Schizosaccharomyces pombe: one gene and its partners. The gene in region 1 interacts genetically with each later gene. Each region holds a gene or a part of one and is shown in the gene's direction. Other genes may lie near its edges.

Region 1 (5,346 bases):
TCCCTTTCCTCCTGACTACTTAGTTTGTCTATGTTCTGGATGCCACTCGCCAGTCACTCGATAAAATTATATTACATTGCTACTCTACCCAAATTCCTCCCGACCTATCGGTTCATCAACTCTATAATATTATATTCCACACAACACGATACCTTTGCCCTTTTCTTCCATACCTCGGCAGCGCTTGCCATGTTCTTCTTTTCAAAACGACTCGAATCCTTCTTTCCTTTGATCGATCATTGACTTGAACAATTCTTTTTTACTTTTAATGTTTTTGATCGGTAATTGAGTTACTAATTTCTAATTTATTTTTTATTTAATTTTTTATTTTTTTTTTATCAATTCTCTCTTTCTTTCCTTTTTTTTTTAACTCGTGATGTTTTTGCAATTCATAAAAAAATTTCCTAATAATTTAATTTAATTCTTTATTTATTTTGTGTTTTTCCTATTCGCAACTGAAATTTTTTTTTTTTTTTGTTTTGTTCCTCGTGTTCCTCTCGGCTCCTATTTTGCCTCCCCTGTGCTCGGTCGGATTAAGTTTACTCCGTACCGACTAGTCCTCGTCTTTCACCTTTTTTGCCTTGTGATTTTCAGCTCGCTATGCTACGCTAATCCTGCCATTGTCAATCTTCGGCGATAGTGAGAAGAGTGGTGCGAGTTGGAATTTTTTGAAAAGCAAGATCTTCAACACATCTCCAGAGCTTACAGTTCTAGTCGCATCACACAATCAAACACATGTGTTGCGCAAAACAAACACATGCAAGCACACTGGAAGCAAATTCGAAAAAGTGCATGCAAGAAAACTCTCGTTTCAAAATCATAAACCCGCCTCATTCCTTAAATTTTATTCATCAAAATATTCGTTAGCAGAATCATTCATTCAAATCTCTCTTTCACTAAATTTTTTTATTTTTTTTATTTATTTTTTTTCGGGAGGCGCGCCACCGCTCCTTCTTGTCCTTTCTTCTTTTTCTCTGTTTTACTTTCACGTGTCTCTTTTGGCCCTACTTTTCCAACTTTTGCAGCTGTAATCGCTCTTTCGCAATTAAAGATCGGCTACTCAATTCCTTTGTCTAAATTTGCTTTTCTTTTCATCTCTTCTATCTAATTTTTGCCTTGTTTCAAATTCTTCACACTTTTCGTTCTTTTCCTTCTCGTCGACGACCACGTATGCTTCTCGAAGGTGCATCCCATCCTTTTTACTGGAAACCCGTTTCAGCATCCATTCCATCTTATCAAATGTGTCTCTTAATTCATATCATCGGTTGACCAGAACAAAACAAAAATTTTTTTCTATTTATTTTTTTTGCTTTTTATTTTATTTTATTTTATTTTAATTTTTGGTTAGATATTCTTTTCAATAGTTTTGCGATTCGTTTTTTGAAACGGTTTTCTTCTTTACATCCTACCATCATTTTCCTTTTTGATTTACCTAGTTCCTCCTACTCCTCCATTCATTTTTGTTTTATCGCACATTCCAATACTCTCGTTATCCTTCTTTAATTCATCTCTAGCATACTCAGTTCCTATTATCTTTATCATTCTCGAGATTTTGAATCGTTAAACTTTTACTACATATCAACTTGTTTGATTCCGCCATATTGCATCTCACCGCTCATCTGCGCATTTCATCAATTGCCTCGTTCTAATTCGTTCATTTTCCTTATCTTTTTTCAACAAACGTTAACGAGGTCATACTTAAAGAGCAAGTGTTTTCCCATTTCATCCACTTCTCACTAGTGTTTTTTTTTTATTTGTACATAGTGCTTTCCATAAATGCTTGTTTTACATTTATCCATCACACTTTCTTAAACCAAATAGGTCTCCATTATTATTTCAGTGTTTCATTTTGTTTCCTTTTTTTTTTTTTTTTTTTTTTTTTAATTTACAATTAATTTTTCTACCACTTTTTTTTCGAGTGGCATTGCATACTTTTCATACACTTTCTATATATTCCATTTTCCCCCTCAATTCGATTTTAAAATAATTCTTCCTGGTCTCTTCCTTCTAATCATGTCTCTTTTATAGCCTAGCTCTTAATCATCATGGATTCATTGTCTGCATATCCTCCTCAATCCACCTTTCAGCAACTTCAAAATGACGAGGAATTGGCCCGTCGTCTTCAAGATGAATGGAATTCTTCTTCCCCCTCTTCTGCCCCCTCCTCATCTTCTTCCCAAAACCAAGTTGAACTAGACGAACAATTTGCTAGGTCCCTTCAAAATTCACAATCCTCTTCCTATTCTCTTCCTCCCTTTGATCATCCTCCTTCCAAAAATCCTACTTCTTCTTCCCTTTCCACTCGCAAGCGATGGCGGCAAAAACGTCTTTGGTCTTTTAAAAACTTTCCCTTTCGTCCCCCTACGCGCTTAACTTCTACTCCCTCAAACTCATCATCTCTTCCTTCTATTCCATCTTCTTCGTCTACTCCATCAATTTCTTCTATTCCACATACCACTTCTTCCGTCTCTAACGACATCCCTTCCGTATTAGGCTCGAGTGACCACCCTATTGATCTTGATAATCCCGAACATTTGACTCCTCCTTCCTCCTTCATTACCGCTAAACAATTGAGTCGTCTTCCTACTCCTCTTCCACCTCCATCATCTTCATCCCTACCTACCGGGACTATTAGTACCAACTCTTTTTGCCCTTATGAGCGTAAGGTGCAACCAGAACATGTCACAAAAGAATTGCATCAATTACTTCAGCATAATACTCCCAGTCCGTTCGACACGATCGACCTGCAGTTGAAAAATGAGCAAGTACAATCCGCCGGTTTATTGGTTTCTCTTTTACCACATCAAGTCGAGGGCCATGCTTGGATGGAATCCATGGAGCAAAGCTCCAAGTGTGGTGGGGTTATGGCCGACGACATGGGCCTTGGAAAAACCATTCAAACAATTGCTTTACTTCTTACTCAAAAATCCCAAGACCCTCTTCGTAAGACAAACCTGATTGTGGTTTCTGTCGCCCTCTTACATCAGTGGGCTGAAGAATTGTCTACTAAAGTGCACCCCAGTAAAAAATTATCCGTTTACATCCATCATGGGTCCACTAAGAAAAACTTGGACTCTTACGAACTTTCTCAATATGATGTTGTCTTGACTACGTATTCAATGCTTGCTTATGAAATGAAGCAAAACGATGCGTTTAATAATAACAATCCCGCTACGGCAACTCCGCCGCCAGCCTGTTCATTGCTAGAGACTTCCTGGTATCGCATTGTTCTAGATGAGGCACATACCATTCGTAACCGCGACACTCTTGCCGCTAAATGCTGCGTCAAACTGGATGCCAAATATAGATGGTGCCTAAGCGGAACCCCCATACAAAACCATATTGATGAGTTTTACAGCCTCTTAAAGTTCCTCAGAATAAAACCATATTGCGTGTGGAGCCTTTTTGCTAAGGATATTTCCAGACCGCTAAAAAGTTATCGTGCAGATATCGTTGAAGCTGCTCTTAAACGTCTTCGCATCCTTTTGGCTTCTACGGTTTTTCGTAGAACTAAAGAGACGAGGGTTAATAATTTGCCTATTGTCAACCTTCCTCCAAAAACCATCCGTACCGTCTCCGTGAACCTTCTTCCTGAAGAACGCGCGCTCTACAATGAGCAAATGTCTAGTGCTCAATCGCTCGTTGATAACTATTTTAACAATGATCACGATCTTTCGCGCTACGGGTTCTTATTAGTATCTTTACTCCGTCTTCGCCAATTTTGTTGTCACCCATGGCTTGTTAAGAGTTCTAGCTTGGATAACAGCTTTAGAATTAGAGATTCCGAAAACGTCAGAAATGCTTGCAAGTCTTTGGATCCCTTGACCATAGAAAGAATTGCTACACTACAGGATTTCAACTGTAGTGTTTGTTTGGATCCTTGTTTGGCTCCCGTTTTTATTATCCCTTGCGGGCACTTTACATGTCAAGAGTGTATGAGCATGCTAGTCGGCCAGAAGTATGGATCATCAAGCACTTCTACGATCATAGCAAAGTGCCCAATGTGCAGAGGTAATATAGTTCAAGATTCATTAGTTGATGCAACTATCCTTCAAGCAATCCATGGTCCTTTAAACTCTTTAAAGCAATTAGAGTTAGATATGAATCAATCTTTTTCAGAACAAGAAAGCATTAAATTAAGGTGGGAAAATCGTATTGACCAGATGTTTACCAAAAAATTTGGCAAGCGGGCGAGCGAATGGAAAAGCTCCTCGAAATTGAATCAAGCAAGACAAACAATTTTGGATATAATTGGCTCCAAGAGAAACGAAAAAATTCTGGTCTATTCTCAGTTCTCCCAGTATTTATGCCTCGTATCGCACATGCTAAAATTAGAAAATATACGACATGTTCGTTATGATGGTACTATGTCTGCGAACCAGAGGCAAAAGTCCCTACATTCTTTTAATAACGATAAAGATGTTTTAGTCATGCTGGTTTCATTGAAAGCCGGCAGCGTGGGTTTGAATTTGACGATTGCAAATCACGTTATTCTACAGGAACCATTTTATAATCCGAGCATAGAGGATCAAGCAATAGATCGTGTTCATCGGCTTGGACAGCAGAAGCCTGTCACCGTGTATAGGTTTATTACTAAAGATACGATTGAAGAGCGTATCGTCAGTGTTCAACGTAAGAAGCGTCAATTGGTTAAAGAAGCTTTGGATTCAAACGAAAACAATCCTCTGTCGAGACTTGACAAAGAAGAGTTGCTATATCTATTTGGGCTTAATTCATGATTATTTAATGTTAACGTTACTCAAATGAACTATACTCTACTGCATACTAAACTAAACGTTAAAAAAAGGGGTGGTGTAGTGTAACGCATGTACAATGTATAATAATAGTATGCTTTGATGGTTTTAAGGCCACAAAGCCAAACTAACTACTCATGAAACGTAATCAAAGTTATAAATTTATAAATGATAGAAATAAAGTGCAAGAAGAATATAATGAAGATAACTTTGTTATATGGCTACGAATATTAGATAAATCATAGGTATCAGTTCATATATGCAAAAGTAATCAGACCATTAGGATCCGTTTACTGATAAAATGCTAACGCTTTAGTTTCAAGCTTTAACAGTGTCAGTCGTAGACTCTTTGGGCTCGGGATGTTCGTTTTCAGAAGCAGCAGCGGCAGCAGGAGCCTCCTCCTTAGCAGACTGGTTGTATTCGGCGTCAGAAGTCCATAAAGTCAAGTTATCGCGAAGAAGCTGCATGATTAAAGTAGAGTCTTTGTAAGATTCTTCAGAAAGACTATCGAGCTCTGAAATGGCCTCATCAAATACTTGTTTAGCCAAATGGCATGCACTTTCTGGAGAGTCAAGGATTTCATAATAGAAG
Region 2 (3,989 bases), on another chromosome or scaffold:
GAAATAGCTACGTGGGTTAATCAATAGTGTCTACGTCCAATTATTATCTGAGGTATACACATGCAACAATCACGGCATTTACATCTCAGTAAATTAAAATAAAGAAAAATAATATCATTAAATTAAGTCAAAAGGTTTAAAGGTGATATCCTATGAATTCGGGAAATTGCCAACTATATCTTAGATAGTCACATTTCTACCAAATTGACGTAGAGCTTAATTAAATATTCCAGATGTTGCTAAAGTATTCTCATATTGTCAACTGCGAAGTTCAACATCTTTCGATTTGCAGAACTGATTCAATCCAGTGGCTAACTCATGGTCGTATGTACGATCCGTTCTGTCTATTTTGATTTAATGTGACCAAAAGTTAAACTTCATCTCGTGTATAGTTAAAAGATATGATAGTATACATACTAAAAATGAGAATTCTGGCAAACCAGATTTAAATCAATAACATGTTACTCTTGCTTGCGACAATATAAGTAAATGTGGGCAAGAAAGATGAAGAAGTATTAGAAACAAGTTGCGGCTAAATTTTGAGAAAGGATTGATAGCGGAAAGGCTACTAATAGTAATGATATGAGCTATTATTATCAGTAACGATAAAGCCGTTTATGGTGGCGCGCGTAAGAGAACGACAAAATTTGAAGCCTAGGTAGTTTCATCAAAACCATTAAAGGAAATAAATATGAAAAAAGCTAGCAAGAGAGGCGATATTATATTTTCGCATTCACAACTTTACTATTGACGACTACGAATACCGAGGGATAGCGTTATTATCTCTCCACAAGTAATCGGCTATTTTTTGATTGGTTTAAATAAAAGTAAATCCTGATTATATTTGACATAATCTGCATCAAATAGAACTCTAGATTTTCCTTTCCGAATATGGTGGCCAATTAACGGTACGACTGTGATGTAAATATTACACAGTGGAGCGACACGTGAATGTAGTCCCCTTCGGTTAGCTCCTTAAAATGGAGGCCTTAAAGGATAATACTGCTTGACTTTTTTAGCATAGTGCCTTTGTTAATTGCAACAAATCCCTTCAAACAAAAAAAAAATAAATTTTTATAAAGAAAAACTTTTTATTTCTATACGGCAAGTTCATCTCATAAAGTAAACAAATCATTTCCCGATTGGCTACCCTAGCCCTTCGTTTGTTTGTTTTGCAGTGACGTCAAAATTCATCTCACCCGATCAACATATATAAACATTGCGACACAAACCAAAAAGTTACCGACTGCAGCATCATATTTCTCAGCAGAAACGTATTCTTATAGTAATCCAAGTCCAAAATTAAGGAATTGGTATCTTAAACCACCTTAGTACATAGTTCTCTATTGTTTATAAGCCTCTTTACTTGCCAGGGACGCAGTAAGACATTGCTTCCTTCACCACCTTCATTATCCTTTACCTTCTTTCTCTGTCCACCTTATATATATATACTTATTTTCCCAGGAATCCTCACTTTTGCCATTAATCCATTCCATCCTTCTGTAGAACGACGAATTGTCATCCCTTCCTTTATCGTTCGTTCATTTCCTAAAACCGGGACACTACTGCATGCTTAAAACAGAGGAAAAATAAAGAGAGAACACATTTATATAATTGAAAGAAACTTTTCCATTGATAGCTCCTAAGTTTCAAATCACCAACTTGTCGGTTTATACATTCTTCATTTTCTTTTATTTACTTTTTTGAAGAAGTTCACAGGGATCACTATTCAGAAATTTTATACAAAGATATTGCATCCTTATTCATCAATCCAAATTTGCGTCACTTGATCGACCACAATTTGCTTCATCTTCCCTTCCCAATTTGTTTCGCCAGCACCTGAATAACATAGCCTCTTTTTAAGATTTAACCTTCTTCAAGAAATCACTACATATTCGCACTACTAACAAAAAAGAAACTTTCGCTTTTTATTTAGTCCGTTCTTGTATCAACTATCTTCATCGGCTTTACCGTCGAAACCATTTCAACCGCACTCAATAGAAAATTAACTTGCTCATCATCAATCTTCCATCATGGATTTCGCAAATGTGTATCTCGGGTTAGATACACTAGGTAATGAAGGATATGGTGCTAGCGTCAGTAATGGCACTCACCATGATTTTCATTTTAACTTCAATACATTCCGCGATGGTGGTAACCATGAAGTTGGAGAAAAACGCGCTGAATCTAGCGATATCGGAGTATATGAATGTAGAGGTCCAGTCCAGGGACCTAAAGATCAAACATCCTTTCCCTCGAATTCACATAATAACTACGCTTCAATAGTAGGTGATGCTAGCATTGGACATTACCTCAAAGGACCCGAGCGTACTTCAGAGGTATCATTACCTCAAACGGTAAACCTTTCGGAGATTTCTAACAATAATGACAAAGGCCAGCCTACAAATACTCCTCCTGTACGCTCAACAATTGTTGCACCTTCATTATACTCTGAAGGTAGTACTTTGAATCATTATAATAATGGATCTCATCAAGTGCTTCATCCACAATTCCAAAATGGAACCAACGCCCCATACGTAGTGCAGTCAAATCTTATGCAAAACAATGTTAATCTAACAGGAGCGGAACAAGAAAAAGGTTTGGACCTATATAAGAATTCCGCTACTGCGAATAACGATGAGATTTTCTATAATCTTGAATCCTTACGTAGAGAAGGATACTTAAACTCCAACAAGAAGCAGTCTCAATCTCCAAATGGAGACTACAACAGCAGCGATGAGTCCTGTTCCAATAAAACCGTCGCCTCCAGTCAACGACGGGGTACACCTGGCAGTAACAATGTTCATACCGCTAGTAACAATGAAACTCCTGATATGAAGAGGAGGCGGTTTTTAGAGAGAAATCGAATAGCCGCATCGAAATGCCGCCAAAAGAAAAAGCTTTGGACACAGAATCTCGAAAAAACAGCACATATCGCATGTGAGCAGTCGAAAGCTCTAAGGATTTTAGTCAGCCAACTACGTGAAGAAGTAATTTGTTTGAAGAATCAACTATTAGCTCATCAAGATTGCAATTGCGAAGGAATTCGACAATATCTTTCTTCAGAGGCTCAAGGAATTATGTCCTTTCAGAAACATTGAGCAAATGACACCCCATTGAATCAAGTTTCGTAACATTTTTTTATTATACTGTATATGCATTTCTGAGAGCCTGGATAGAATCTTGCAATAGGAGATGCTTAAAAGACGGCCAGTGCTGCTCTACTGCTTGTCTATAGTAATTGTACTTTAACTCTGGCATATTTTATTTTTCTTTTTTCACAATACTATTATTTTCTTCGCGTCACTGTGTTCATGGGATTTGCAATCTCACTCCAAACTCGTTTCATTCAATTGCTTGGGTTTTTCATTCATGTTTCTTCATTAAAAGTGTTTATGTTTCGAAGATCCTTTACGCACGTTTCATTTCCAGATTAATAATTACTGTAATGATATATCTTCCCTATATGTATTTTTTTAATAGGTTACGATTGCTTTACGAACTTGACCTAGATGAGCCAAATCTGTAATCACTGCCATATAATCTGTACCTCGTTCACAGACATGTCATTTTATCTTCAGTACGACACCACAGTTACATATATTGTTTGCTTTGGAATAAAAAAAAAATTAAGTAATAGAATAACACTTTCTGAAGTAAATGGTAGAAAAGATAACAGTATTCGTAGAGCAGCTATAATTATATGCATTTTTGCGTTTTGCAGCAAAAGATCACTATACTGCATAAGGAATTTTTATACAAACCATGTGTCTTTATTTAGTACATTAAGACTATATCCCGTTTCTACTCCTTCAGAAAGTGCTTAAGCCCTCTCTTAGCAAAGAAACGAGTGTATTATTAAAAGGAATGGCACCCTCAGAGAAAGACATTGAAGAGGTATCAGTCCCTGGAGTTTTAGCACCGCGCGACGATGTGAGGGTTTTAAAGACACGAATTGCCAAATTATTAGGAACAAGTCCTGATACATT
Region 3 (3,772 bases), on another chromosome or scaffold:
AGTTTACCCAATCCAGAGAGAAAAATGAGCAGAATCTTTCAAGTAAAGCGTCAGTTTTAAGAAACAAAAAGTCAATCTTGTTAAAGAAAAGAAATCAAGATGAAACTCAACTGACTACTGAGGAGGATTTTTCTGCCAATAATGATTCTACCGCAAAAATAGAGACCAGTATCCACGACCACAGAGATATTTCTAGAATAACACCTTTTGAACTTCCTTTTGTTAATCCAAAGCTGTTTGCTAGCTTTACTCCAATGTCGGTAGCTCTACCAGCTGGACGATTACTACTAATTAAACAGTTGCAAGAGAAATCTACCCAATCATCTTCTATGACAGGTCTCAAATAAAACCAGCTTATTGCCAAAAGTAGATAATACATTCATCTACTCATATTTTTGTCTCATACTAGCATAAAAAGTATAAATTAATTATGATTTTCAATCTTACTTTTACCATTGTATTTTAGTCACATTTGTCTGTAAGGAAAAATAGCGTTGGTGTAAAGCGAGGTAACATATTTAAATGTTACGTCGTTAATTTTTTTACGTAGGCGATGGAAGGCGTGTAAATCATTTGAGCATTGAGGAATCCGCAGTAAGTACAGGAAACTTCCACTGCATATTATTTACTCAACTTAGCTACCTGGGGAATACACATTGTTTGTTTTAAAATTTATCGATTTCAGAATTACATTGAATTAATTTTTTTTTTTTTCAATCAGGTCCGTTTCTGCTTCTGGGATTGTATATTCTATCTTCATAAAACCAACGAGGAATTCGTGTGAACTATTTATAGTGCTGCGTGTAAGCTAAAAAAGATATTATAATACTTTATAATGGCATTTCGTAAAGAAGAACTCAGTCAAACACTCTATGAGAATGAATCTGAGCAATCATCCGAAACCAAGGAACTAATGTTAAATAATGAAGAGAGTTTAAGCGATTGGCGAAATTACTTTGATGAAAAGTTAACAATTCCTGGTGAAAGTGGGGCTTTGAATGGGACTATCAATGGGTACTTAACACTTCCACAACCAGATGGTTGCTTACTTGTTTTGCAACACGGTGCTGGCTCAAGTGCCATGTCATTTGCACCGGTTACACAAGAGCTCTTGAGTAATTCAGATAATAAGGTTGGTTTTTTAGCGTTGGACCTTCGAGCTCATGGAGAAACAACGTTAGAACCCGAATCAGATATGAGCTTGGAAACATTATCTAAGGACTTTACTCACGCAGTCTCCTATGTTCAACGTATGTTTGAGCTTGATGAAAAAATCATTTTGGTCGGACATAGCTTAGGAGGTGCCATTTGTGCTTACTGTGCTTTTCAAAAAACTATTCCCAATACTTCTGGACTTGTTGTCATTGATGTGGTTGAAGGGACTGCGATGGAAGCATTGGGTTTTATGAAAACGTACCTCTCTAATCGTCCTACTAGCTTTAAATCAATTGATGATGCAATTTCTTGGCATATCAAGACTTTAGTTACTAGAAACAGATTATCGGCCTGTATTACAGTTCCTTCACTTCTCGTTCAGCAGGAAGATGGCACATTCGTTTGGCGAACCGATCTTTACAAAACATCGCCGTATTGGATGGACTGGTTTAAGGGTTTAAGTGACAAATTCCTAAGAGCACCATATGGAAGGATGCTTATTGTCGCTGGTACCGATCGTCTAGATAAAACGTTAACAATTGGACAAATGCAAGGAAAATATCAACTTGAGATTCTTCCTGAAACTGGTCATTTTGTTCATGAAGATGTTCCCGCTAAGATTTCCTCTCTACTTTTAAATTTTTGGCATCGCAATCAACCTTTGGTTTTACCTCCCAAAGTTGGTGCTACTCCTGTTCTACAGTAATCTTAATGATTTAACGAACTTTATTATACACTAAGAAAAATGCGTTATATAGTGGAGTATGTATGGTCATATAACGTTGTGCTGTGCAGGTTGCGTAGGCATCGATATCAAAGGCACCGCTTTCATAGTACCTATAAGTACGTTGCATTCGCATATATGATTGTATCTTTATTTATCATTACCCTTGATTAAAAAATAATTTATTTTATTGAAACTTCTCTTTTAAACACTCGAATTTTTGTGCCTTCATGTCTGTGATAACTCAGGCTCAGGAAATACCTACTGTAGCAGCCAATCCCGATTTCAATTATGAAGGAGATCCTATTATTATTCAATTATGCGATCGTGACACAGTATTTGAATTGAGTAGAGATCAGCTTTTAGGCCTCCCGGAATCCATCTTGATGTGTTTATTTCCTAGAGGCCTGTTGTTGGATTATGAGATTCAAGAATGCCAACTGACTCAAAGGCCATTAATATTTCAAACAGCTGACTTTGATCCTTCATTACTTCAGTACATATTAAATTATTTTCAAATGGCCGAAAATCGTACCGCTAATGATGAAATTGCATTATCACCACCTCCACCTTCTTTTCCTGGAAAATGTGGTATAATTCTGTTAAAAGAAGACATTGAGTTTTTTATCCTCCCACCCATTTCACCAACCACCAATATTGCCATTGAAGTTAGTCCGAACGATTTGCTTAAACTAAAACAACGTGTAGCCCAACGATTGCTGCAACAAAAGAAGATCTTTGATTGTTTACATCTCGAAAACTCCACCTCAGAAGGTTCCGCTGAAAAGAACCTTGTACGCATGCTTTGCTACAGCGGATTTCACGAAGATGACGAATGGAAACGGCGAATACAAGAACCACATCGCGCTTGTATTACTTCAGTCACTTTGACCAACCTAGATTTTAGTGCAGATCAGGGCCCTGTCTCTGATCCTGAATATTTTCCTGTTTATCACAAGTTGCTCCTCTTTTGGCAGAAACCAGCTCGGAAGTGTTGGTGGGATTCTTCTACCAGTATCACCTACAATGGGATCGAGTTTGCAACTTGGGTAAGAAGAGTTTGGACGTTGGAACTTGCTGTATTAGGCGCTAATACGTACGAGACTGCAGCGGTTTAAGTACAGGGTATGTTTCAAAGTTTAAAAGCATTTTTTCTCTTTTGTGTTTTTGTTGTTTTTGTTGTTTTTGTTATTCCTCTTTATTTTTAAATGAGCAAGAATTATTTTTGCGCAGCAATTACCTACTTAATCCTTGATTTGTAATTGCTTAAATTAGATTTGTACTCCTCCTACGAGTTTTATTATTTCTTGATCCTCTCTGAAATTTTTTTTATTATTTTATTGAACAACGTTCAGTATTACTTGTCACTATTTCCCTTAATACACAAAATTATTATATTAATTTACAAAATGTTTTAGTTGTCAGCAGCATACATGGGTGAAGTAGAAGACTAGATAAAAAGAAGAAAGGGAATTAGTTCAGTTTGAGTTCCGTAACCCTGGATGATTAGTAACATGATAGAATTGCTGCACACTTACCTTAAAATAGTATACGTTTGTTTATGTTTCATTACACGATCATGACGATGACGACGCTTGTGTTTTACTCGAACACTTAATGCGCTTTTAGGGAATGATAATACAACCGCTTCAATCGTAAACAATGAAGGGTCTACATACGGGTTACCAAAGAGAGTAAAATCTCTTGAGCCGAAGGAAGCGATTTTATCAAGTCGTATCGTATCACCAACCTGGACACCTTTCAAGTGAAAAGGCAATCCTAGTTGATCTCCTTTGGCTATAACAAAATGACGATTAAATATATACGCATCAGCATAGTGGTCAGGTTGTTGTTTTATTGAATCTATAACCTTTTGATTTACCACGCCAGAAT
Region 4 (4,420 bases), on another chromosome or scaffold:
GAAACGATCCAAGTATTTCAAACAGTTAAAGAACACTTGAATACAAACAACATAAAGATGAAAAAGTATTTCGATATGAAAATACAAGAAATTGAAGAATTTCAACCTGGAGACCTAGTTATGGTCAAAAGAACGAAAACAGGTTTTCTTCATAAATCCAATAAATTAGCACCTAGTTTTGCAGGACCGTTCTATGTGTTACAGAAGTCGGGTCCAAACAACTATGAATTGGATCTTCCAGATTCAATCAAGCACATGTTTTCATCTACTTTTCATGTTTCTCACCTAGAAAAGTATCGACATAATTCAGAACTCAATTACGCTACCATTGATGAGTCTGATATTGGAACAATTCTTCATATCCTAGAACATAAAAACAGAGAACAAGTACTCTACTTAAATGTCAAGTACATTTCGAATCTAAATCCGAGTACTATTATGTCAGGATGGACTACATTAGCTACAGCGCTACAAGCGGACAAAGCAATTGTCAATGATTATATTAAAAACAATAATCTAAATATCTGAGAACATATGACTTATCCTCAGATTTACATAGAAAATCTTGGGGAGGGCAATGTCAGCAATACTACACTACGCTATAATACACTACGTTGAGTATCACTATATGTCACATGTTCTAATTATATATCGTACCATGTATGATACGATATGGAGATTGATCTTAATGATAATCTATTAAGATCAATATTATCTGAATACTATAAATAGAGCTACTGCTGAACCTCGTTCCTCAGTTCAGTTATGAGCTATATTAGTGATAGGTAACATTATAACCCAGTTAATACAATACCTATACTCAGTTGCTACTTATACAACCTGTGTATCGTAATATAATAGATCACAAGGAAAACTCACCGCAGTTCTACGTATCCTTAAATCAGATACCAAACTGCGTAGCTTACACTTAATGAGTTTTCAAAAAAATATGCAAAACCAAAATAATGAGGAAAACATCATGTGAGATTAGTTAAACGAAGAATGAGTCTCAGCTTGGAAATTTGTTAATTATCAAGCTTCAAGGTATTCTGCTTGAACTTTGAGTTGAAGAATAAATGGGTTCTTTATTTTGAAAGAGTTTGCGTTATGATAATTACTCTTTGGTTCGGCTTAGTGGTTCGGCACAATAATTATGCCGGAAAAAAACAAGATCCGCAAAACCCTCTATATATATCGACTTGCTGGCAGCTTAAAACTTTTCAGATCAGGTAAGAAACTAACGCAATAGTACCCTTACACAGTTATACAACTATTGACACATGTTTCATGGGCCACAACATGTGAAATGTCGGCCAAATTAAGCTTGAATTAAGCGAGATTTATAGTACCTTGAAATATTCGTTTTCATTTGCGAGTTTTCTCGTACCACTACAGTATGAAGCAGAATTTCTCAGAAAATAATACTTAACAAAAAGTTAGAGCTTAAAATATAATCCAAAATGGTTGTTAAGATTTTGAGAGCTGCCGTACCTCTCATATAAACACTCACCGCTAGAAATTAAAAAATAAGTGAGATGAAAATATTAATGTCAATGAGTATCTGAGAGCTTATCCATGCAATTTTCTTCTTCCGAAATGCCATCTAGCTTTAACGTTTGTTTTCACTCACAAGAAAAGTCGCTATAATGCTGAATTTTAATAGACATTCAGAATAACTGAGAACCTGCTAAACTACGTTAAGCTCATCTCTTCACATACCGAGCTCTTTCCAACTTCAAGTATTATGATAAGCAAGTTTCTTGAAAGCGATTCTTAAGTGAGTATTCTGCACTACGCTAGGCATAGATAACGGATTCGTTCTTGTGCTCCGCATTCGAATCTTAATTTGAAAAGCCTTCTTCTACCATGTAAACATTACCGTAATATCCACATAATCCTTTTGCTTTCATGAATTCAGTCAATTCTACAGGTTTTTCATAAAAACTTTTAATTTGAAGCACATTTGTTATATAAATATTGCTTTTCTTTGTCAAATATTTGATCCGTAAAAGAAAAAGTTCTCGCGGGACGTTTTTCGGTTAAAAATACATTCCTACAATTACTAATCTCGTGTTCAAAGACTAAGCAAAATGATGCTACCAAAGAGAAACATTATTCATTTCCTTCGTAAAAGGGCAATCTTCATAGTTGCGGCTTTCATAGCATTATTGACTGTTGATTATTCGCTCAACACCATTGAAATCACTGACTCAAAGTCGGGACCCTTCTCACTGAACACTCCAATCGAAGATATAAGGCTGGTCGAGTGCTTTTCCTTTTCTCCCTTTTGTCGTCCCGTTTTGGAATTTTGGAAATGGGCCCGTACTAGTCGGAATCTGTACCGTTCCCGAATTCCTTGGAAGCGTGCCTACCTTTACGTGAAACGACCAGCACTGTATATTCCTGGGGAGACTGTCTTAGTTGAACAGGTATATGTTGATCGACAGCTGGAAAAGCGTAACAAGCACGGTATTCAAATTCGTTATGGAACGGATGGTGATATTTGCGAATTTAATACATTGTTGGGTGAGGATGTTGTTGAATTACGAGAGGGTTGGTCTGCTGTTCTAAATGACTTTATTTATTTAGGACAGCCGGTCCTATTGACGCAAAGACCTTGTGAAACTCCTCCGACGCCATCTATTGAAGCGCTTAAGAGAAAGGAGCTTTCATCCGTAACCCTTACTTATGATGACGAAGAAAAAAAGACAATTAAGATTCTTCAGCTTTCTGATTTGCACTATTCAAATTCTGACAGACCGTGTCGCGATCCTTATCCGTATGAGACTGCAGAGGATTGTATGGCCGATGCAAAAACTACTGCTTTCGTGAATGAATTATTACAGTTAGAGGAACCGGACTTTGTCCTTTTGACTGGGGACTTAATTAACGGCGACACGTCACGCGACGCTAGAAGCTCTTTGATGAAAGCGGTGTCCCCTTTTGTTGATTACAACGTCCCATTTGCTGTAAATTTCGGAAATCACGATGATTTGGGAGATTTATCGAGGGAAGAGCTTGCCAAAATTTTGAGTCAGATTCCTGGTAGTATGGGTTTGATTGGAAATGTCTCTGGTGTTGGTAACTTTGTTTTACATAGTCCCCGAAAGTTTGCCATTTACGTTTTAGATACAAAGGGAGATACTTCAAATCGAAGATTATGCCCTGGATACGATGCTATTACCGAGGATCAACTGGAGTGGCTTTCTAGTAAAGTTGCGGATTTCAAGTACGAGCCCATTCAAATGGCTGTATTGCATATCCCTCTGAAGGAGTTTTGCGAGACTGAAGACCTTGTTGGTGCATTTCGAGAGCCCTGTTCTTATTCCATTTGTGATCCAAATACTGCGAAAGCTTTGAAAAGTTTACGTATTCCTCTTGCTATTGCAGGACATGACCATGTAAATGATTTCTGTGGAATCCATCCAGATTATAACACATACTTTTGCTTTGCTGGAGGTGCTGGGTTTGGCGGATATGGAGGACATGGTGGCTACGTTCGTCGTGCAAGGGTTTTTGAGTTGGACCCGGTTGAGCGCGCAGTTCGTACTTGGAAACGCTTGGAATGGCCTCCTGAAGACCGTAAGTTGATGCTGGACGTACAAACTATTTTAGTTTAAACAATCACTCCTCTCATTATATAACTTATTTCACAGCAGGATATAATTTTCTTTTTCTTCTATCTTTACGATATTTTTATTTTCTATTCAATCTTCATCCCAATTTTATGGGATCCTTCTTTTCAAAGTGAATTTCTTATGTTACGGAAGTAATATACTAATTAATATTAACGAAATTTTTACGCTCTTCCAATTACATACTTAAATAGTTTTGAAATGTGTTTGCTAATAATTAATTCCACATTCTACCATTTGCAGTTGAGATCCATCATATATTTTATTCCAAAATACAAGTAAATATGTCCATCCACATACGCAATACATATATACAAAATATATATATTCATTTATATAACAATCGTCAAACCTAAAGGCTTAGTCACACTTATAGCTCGCAAGTACGATTTATTTTTTGTGTTTTGTTAAAAAAGACTGCCATAACATCCTTAAAATCATAATCTGGAAACCTCAACATACGGAATGCTAGCAGTAAAAAGGGTAAAAAAAAGTAAGCTAAAAAACTCCTAACAAAATGAAAGAAATCGGTATACCTAACTGGTTGCAGCTAAAATATTTAGGCCTCAAGCTTAGCCTTCAAGATGGTACGAAGAGTATCAGCATCCTTGGCAAAGGCAGCGATACCAGTGGACAACTTGACTACAGCCATTTCGTCGTTGTTAAAGTCGAAACGGAACTTGGGCTCATCAGTAAGGTAGGAAACCTTCTCCAAATTGAGGCTGGAAGCCTTGGAGGCATCAAGCTTCTTGGGGACAGCGTCGGTGCTGTTGTTGAGCTGCTCA

The links.
Region 2: mutations in rrp1 (region 1) and atf21 together harm fitness more than expected from each alone (negative genetic interaction), as found in Schizosaccharomyces pombe (one large-scale study listed by BioGRID).
Region 3: mutations in rrp1 (region 1) and SPOM_SPBP4H10.16C together harm fitness less than expected from each alone (positive genetic interaction), as found in Schizosaccharomyces pombe (one large-scale study listed by BioGRID).
Region 4: mutations in rrp1 (region 1) and dcr2 together harm fitness more than expected from each alone (negative genetic interaction), as found in Schizosaccharomyces pombe (one large-scale study listed by BioGRID).

The regions. Positions count from the first base shown.
Region 1 is NC_003424.3:3,578,178-3,583,523, forward strand, and holds rrp1 (ATP-dependent DNA helicase), read left to right. Parts: upstream 1-2,045; coding exon 2,046-4,739; 3' UTR 4,740-4,828; downstream 4,829-5,346. Other genes in the region: 14-3-3 protein Rad25, read right to left, coding at 5,073-5,346.
Region 2 is NC_003423.3:1,720,980-1,724,968, forward strand, and holds atf21 (Atf-CREB family transcription factor Atf21), read left to right. Parts: upstream 1-2,033; coding exon 2,034-3,101; 3' UTR 3,102-3,471; downstream 3,472-3,989. Other genes in the region: mRNA guanylyltransferase Ceg1, read left to right, coding at 3,868-3,989.
Region 3 is NC_003423.3:2,905,462-2,909,233, reverse strand, and holds SPOM_SPBP4H10.16C (phosphatase activator), read left to right. Parts: upstream 1-1,994; 5' UTR 1,995-2,109; coding exon 2,110-2,997; 3' UTR 2,998-3,272; downstream 3,273-3,772. Other genes in the region: SPOM_SPBP4H10.18C (uncharacterized protein), read left to right, coding at 1-347; SPOM_SPBP4H10.17C (carboxyl methyl esterase), read left to right, coding at 836-1,861; aco2 (aconitase/ribosomal domain-containing protein), read right to left, coding at 3,353-3,377, 3,418-3,772.
Region 4 is NC_003421.2:774,241-778,660, reverse strand, and holds dcr2 (phosphoprotein phosphatase), read left to right. Parts: upstream 1-1,889; 5' UTR 1,890-2,090; coding exon 2,091-3,620; 3' UTR 3,621-3,871; downstream 3,872-4,420. Other genes in the region: Tf2-12 (retrotransposable element/transposon Tf2-type), read left to right, coding at 1-528; tal1 (transaldolase), read right to left, coding at 4,195-4,420.